Linked DNA regions of Cricetulus griseus. The protein of the gene in region 2 purifies or fractionates together with the protein of the main gene of each other region. This does not show direct contact. Links are inferred from orthologs where the notes say so. Each region holds a gene or a part of one and is shown on either strand. Other genes may lie near its edges.

The links.
Region 1: the proteins of Prkag3 (region 2) and Prkaa2 purify together in Homo sapiens (affinity purification with mass spectrometry; 3 studies listed by BioGRID and IntAct, counting the BioPlex papers as one, with this or other methods). This does not show direct contact. The link is inferred for Cricetulus griseus from reciprocal best matches to the Homo sapiens genes PRKAG3 and PRKAA2.

Annotation. Positions count from the first base shown.
Region 1 is NC_048595.1:44,805,960-44,809,618, reverse strand, and holds part of Prkaa2 (5'-AMP-activated protein kinase catalytic subunit alpha-2), read right to left. Parts: intron 358-3,659; coding exon 1-357. UniProt on the Homo sapiens protein: Catalytic subunit of AMP-activated protein kinase (AMPK), an energy sensor protein kinase that plays a key role in regulating cellular energy metabolism.
Region 2 is NC_048595.1:427,972,806-427,975,536, reverse strand, and holds the end of Prkag3 (5'-AMP-activated protein kinase subunit gamma-3), read left to right. Parts: intron 1-1,406; coding exon 1,407-1,444; intron 1,445-1,593; coding exon 1,594-1,740; intron 1,741-2,039; coding exon 2,040-2,156; downstream 2,157-2,731. UniProt on the Homo sapiens protein: AMP/ATP-binding subunit of AMP-activated protein kinase (AMPK), an energy sensor protein kinase that plays a key role in regulating cellular energy metabolism.

The DNA.
Region 1 (3,659 bases), about 380 Mb from region 2:
CACCGTGCTTTGGGGCTGTCTGCTATAAGAGGTGGCATCCTTTCAGGATGTGGTTTCAGGCCTGGGGGGATATGCATGGCACTATCATCCATAAAAGAACCAGTTGGAGGACTAGAGGCGAGGTAGAACTCACTGGCTTGGTTCATTATTCTCCGATTGTCAATGATAAGATGATACGCCACTGCAAGCTGGTCTTGAGGATCACCGCTATATAAACTGTTCATTACTTCTGATTCTGTACACTCAAATTTTTCACATACTTCTTTCACAGCCTCATCATCAATGACGTTAGCATCATAGGAGGGGTCTTCAGGAAATAGATAACTGGGCAAATCCTGTTTAAACCATTCATGTTCTCTAGGAAAAACACCATACACACTATTATAAGAACATGCTTTAGTCAGTCCCAAATAATTTAGACATGGGGCAATACAACATAAAGACTCTAAAATACTGCTCTCTAATTCCAGTTCTGCTGCTATTGGCTATGTGACCCTGGGGCCAGTTAACTAATTTCTATCCTTAAAAAAAATATATTCAGACTTGAGAGATTTCCTTGAAAATGAACTAAGTGGGTCTATAACTTCAAGGAAAACAACTAACAATATTTGTGGTCAATGGTAGAATCTAAGTTCCCAAGAAAAATTTCAGATGGTGGATAGTAATTGGTACCTGTTCCCTGGGGTTTGATGGTTTCTCAAGACCTGAAGATGTTCTGGTGAAGCTAGTATTGATAATAATGAATATGATTTTTGATAGCATAAAATGAAATTTGGGAAATTTGTATATTTCAATAATGCAAGATTTCCCAATGGTGTGACAGAATTACACATGCATAAGAGAGTCCCTTAAAATTTAAAATATATTATTATAGTGTGGCAAAATACAAAAGTTAATTAATTTTTTCTCATTTGATATTGCAAACTATAAGCTAGTACGTAAAGCTTTGTTTTAGTATCAAAGAATATCACTATTATCTGAGTGGCTATTAAAAAATCCTTTATTTTTCAGCCACTTACCAGAGTTCAGATTTTCCTCAGGAACTTCAACTAATGTAAAATATTGTAAGATTAGCTGTGTGGTGGTGGTGTATGCCTTTAATCCCAGCACTTGGGAGGCATAGGCAGGTGGATCTCTGTGAGTTTGAGGCCAGTCTGGTCTACAAAGTGAGTTCCAGGCCTGCCAGGGCTGTTACTCAGAGAAACCCTATCTTAAAAAACAAACAAACAAATAAATAAAGGTTCAAGATTAAATGAAGAAGTACACTGAGATTCTAGCCTGTGTTTGATTAAACTAGACACTGAGGACATTCATAAAAGTGTAAGATGATGCTTTTTACAATGTTTTGGGAACACTTTCATAATAGAGATTACTATAAGGCTTGGTGGTGTACACTTATTATCCTAGTAATTCAGAAGGCTGATTCAGGAGAATCTCAAGTTCAAGGCTTGATTCCGCTACAAAAAAAATTACAAACCATCCTGTCTAATTTAGTGAGACCTTATATCAAATAAAATGTAAAAGGAGATAGGGGAGGGGACCAGAGATGTAAGTCAGTGGTAGAGTATTTGCCTAGGAAGTTCAAGTCTCTTAGGTCAAATTCTTAGGTTATTTGTTTGATTAAAACATTTAAATGAACATATTTTTAAGTAAATTCAATTCTAAATTTAATTATTATATGCTAACTATTGGTATATCATTCACTAAAAATAATTTAGGTCCTCAACAACAAGAGTATAAAAAGATACTAAAACTAAACTTTTTGCAGACTGCTCTCCTAATCTCATTTCCTCTAACTTTCTGGACCTTTGTGTCTGATGTTCTGACTACTATCAAATAGTCCTCAGAGATTATATACCAGGTGGATATAAACAGGTTTTAAAATATAAATGACTACAAATACACAAATATTCTGATAAAACCTGGGAGTAGAAAACAATAAACAAGAGCCTATGGTTCAGAATGGGAGGCCGAGGAGGGAAGCCACTCAAGTTAACATTTAAGCACACACCAGAACACTCAGAAGTCAGCTAAACAATATGTAGAAAAAGATGCTGCAGCAAAAGAAACAATATCTGTTAAGTCTTGAGACAACAAAGGGTTTTGTCATGTTACAAGAACTGCTGTGGTCCAATATCACCCTGGGACACAGGATGGAGTGGTAAAAGAAATCAGGTATTGTGGAGAGTTGTAGCAAAAATGTTCAAAATAACTTTTTATAACTACAGAAGTTTCCCAAAAGTCTGTAATAATCTGGGGAATTTTGTTTAAATGCTGACTGACCTTCAGTAGAAAAGTGAGGCTTGGGTTTTTAAGCTGGCATTTTTAAGCAGCTCTATTTTATCAGCTTCCCAGAAGCCTTAAAATTTATGAGCCTCACAATCACACGACTGAGAAAAATCACTGCAGTAACAAGGATGGAGAAACAGAGTACTGGAGCTCCCTACAAGTTCCAACCCACGAAAACAACCACTCTTTGACATCTAGTGTGCTGGTTGTTTTTCGTCACAAATTTAGACATATCTGAGAAGAGCGAATGCCATTTGAGAAAATGTATACATAAGACTGGTCTACAGGCAAGTCTGTGGGCATTTTCTGGACTAATGACTGATGTGGGAGGGCCCAGCCCATTGTGAGTGGTACCACACTGGGCAGGTGGTCCTAAATTGTATAAGAAATCAGGCTGAGTTGGGCGGTGGTGGCACACACCCTTAATCCCAGTACTCCAGTACTCTGTGAGTTCAAGACCAGCCTGGTCTACAAGAGCTAGTTCCAGGACAGCCTCCAAAGCCACAGAGAAACCCTGTCTTGAAAAACCAAAAAAAAAAAAAAGAAGAAGAAGGAGGAGGAGGAGGAGGAGGAGACTAAAAAAAACTAAAAAAAAAAATTAAATTATTATAAAGAAAGAAAAACAAAAACAAAAAGAAAGCAGGCTGAGTAAGTCATGAGAGGCAAGCCAGTAAGGAGCACTCCTCGAAGCCTCCTGCCTTACTTGAGTTCCTTCTCTGATTTCCCTCAGTAATGGACAGTCACCTGGAAGTATAGAATGAAATTAGTCCTTTCCTCCCCAAGTTGATTTTGGACACAATAGTGCTGCAATAGAAAGCCTAAGACATCGAGCAATTCCCTGCATATTTCCACGCACAACTTTATCTCTGATGTGACTTACAGCTCACTTACTGAAAGCCACCAGACTATTTGTTTAAAAAACAAACAAACAAAACCAGTGGCCACTGTTTAATATTCCAGGTGTGTGAAGCAGTAACGAGAGCTGTGTAACAAGAACCTCACCTATAAAGTTAGGTAAGAAAATAAAGAGTGCAAAAGGTCTGAGAAGTTTTCCCTTATTCCTGAGACTCACAAAGGCCAGATATGTGCCCAGGAAAAAACTGAAAAGACCCTAATTTGTCATCACTGGGTGGCTTTGAGGCTCTGCACAAGAAGGAAATGAAAGCAAAGGCAGGGTTATCAACTGCCTATTAGAGAAGTGGAGATAACAAACACAGAACCACATTCAAAGGCTGGAGGACTTATTAAGTCATGGCATCTTTTAAAAAATCTGTTTCTCCTTAGAAACAGCTGGCCTGAACAAGGGGGAGCATATGGACCCCAGATTACTGTCTAGGAGGCCAGCATGGGACTGGTCCAGACCCCTGAAC
Region 2 (2,731 bases):
AGACATTGGATCATATTGGCCCTAGCACTTCAGTCTAAATCTCTTGCAATAAGCATATTTTATGCAACACAACTGTGAATAACTGGACAGCTGAGATGGCTCAGCTGGCAAAAGCACTTGCCAATCAAGCCTGATGACCCGAGTTCACTCCCCAGAACACACACCAAGGTGGAAGCAGAGAACCAACTCCTGAAAACGGCCCTCCTCTGACCTCCACATTCGTGCTGTGGCTCACACACACGCAATAATAATAAACAGAATTAGAGGGTTTTATTACGTTTACTTCATCATTTAGGTGTGTGCTTGCACATGCATGTGGGCGCCTATGTGCCACAGCACGTATGAGGGGGTCAGGGACAGCTTTCAGGAGTCCGTTCTCTCCTCCCACTGAGTGAGTCCCAGGGATCAAATTCAAGTTGTCAGGAATCTCACTGGCCCTTAAAGTATCGTTTTAAAAAGAGAACAGTTATTTTTAAAACTATGACTGATTTATTGTGACCTAATTTCCAATCCTTATTCTCATTTTCCCACTTCTCCCAAGAATGACTTCAAAAAAAAAAAAAAAAAACCCAAATCCAAATGAAGTTCATGTTTCTCATTTCTTCATTTGTCCTTGAAGTCTGTTTAAACCTAAGCCTGTACCCTTTCCTTTCATTTTTATGGCACAGGTCACTAGAAAAGTCTGAATTAATTTTCCTATATCTTACCTTCAAGGACATAGAGATAGCTTGGCAGACAAAGACGCTTACAGATAAGCCTGGTGACCTGAGTTCAATCCCGGGGACCCACATCGTAGGAGAGAATTGACACCTGAAAATTGTCCTCTGATCTCCATACATGTATGTGCTGTGGCACTACAGTGTGCATGCACACGTGCGCACACACACACACACACACACACACACACACACACACACGCGCGCGCGCGCCACACACACAACACACACACACACACCACACACACGCGCGCACACACACACACGCACACACACACACACATATACACACACGCTAACAAATATAGTTTAAAAAGTTAAGAAAAAAAATCCCATGTCCAGATTTGTCCATTTGCCTCCTGGAGGTGGCCGTGCCTCGGTCCCCTGTTCCTGTTTCCTGTGAGCCAGGAATTGAACCTAAATGACATATATCTGTACACTATGAGGCTGGCATATTTCACAGGTGATGCCATGTTCTCCCTGCAGCTCACAGGAGCCTGACGTCAGGCATCTCAATGATGATGCTAAGCCTAGGTAGGGGCAGCAAGATGCCCTATGACTAAGCCAAGCAGCCTGGGGGGACTATCCAGGAACTAGTTTCAAAAGCTGTCCCCATGTACCCTGAAGAACACCCTGGTTCTGAGCTGTGCTCTTTTCTGTCTTTTTTTTTTTTTCCATTCTCTGCTGCAGGTCAGGTCGTGGGCCTCTACTCCCGCTTTGATGTCATTGTAAGTGTTTGTAGGGACTGGGGGTGCTACAGGGAGGCTACAGTATGAGGATCAATCTGTTGCTACCTTTTGCAAGCGTGTCAGAGTGCAATCTCCAGGCTACAGCCTAGGTAATGAGGTAATCCATGACTCCCTTCCCCTTGCCCCAGCACCTGGCTGCCCAGCAAACCTACAACCACCTAGACATGAGTGTGGGAGAAGCTTTGAGGCAGAGGACACTGTGTCTGGAGGGGGTTCTCTCCTGCCAGCCCCATGAGAGCTTGGGTGAAGTCATTGACAGGATTGCTCGGGAACAGGTACCTTGCACCCCTCCCGGCATGCCCTCAACATAGATGGCCTAGTTCTTTGCATAGCTTGTATACTGGGCACTTGACCTGTCTTCCCTTTCATGACCAACTTTTGGCATCTGCATTGGGAGGTGTCTGGTCCTGTGCATAGGGCCCCTGTGCCAAGATCCACAGCCAGCTGAGTGCTCAAAGCCATCACCAGCTGTTCCCAGGAGATGTCCTTTGCTTCTTGATCTGTGTTAAGCTTTCCCCTTATTAGCTGCTATAGCCAAAGGTACTGCCCCTCCCTGAACACTGTGGACCCACAGGTGCACAGGCTGGTGTTGGTGGATGAGACCCAGCATCTTCTGGGCGTGGTCTCCCTCTCTGACATACTTCAAGCACTGGTACTCAGCCCTGCTGGCATCGATGCCCTCAGTGCCTGAGAGCTCCCGAGTCCTCACTCCCGAGTCATCTTCCTCACCTGAAAACCAATGAAAGGATCTAGGGGAAATTGGCCTTCATCTTCTCCCACCCCCTTTTGCTGGTTCTGCTCTGGTACAGGTAGGCTCTGCTGTGAGCTGTAGGGCTAGTCCCTCAGGCTTTCTGAGCTCCTGATCTCAAGTTAGGGTACCCTGAGGATGGCAGTGGCACCAGCTATCACTGAGCAACCTCATAGAAACTGTCAACAAAGCCTTTTCAAACCACTACTTTGTCCCATCTCCAGCTGAGGTTGTGGAGGTCCTGCTGGAAGGGATGGATGGAGGCAGGGCATCCTGAGCTCTGGGAAGGTATAGCTGCCTTCTCTCCATTCTCTTCCCACTGGGAATTTCTTGAGAATAAAGCAAGCTAACAACCTTTTGTTGAATGCATTTCTATTATCAGCATTGACTAATATGGGAGGGAATTTCCATTTACTGCTTATTTCAATGAATTTGTCAAATTGTGGACTGTCCTGGTACCATGCTTGGTTGGGGGGCATTGCCAAAGGATGGGGCAGAAATTCCATCCAGTTGGCAGT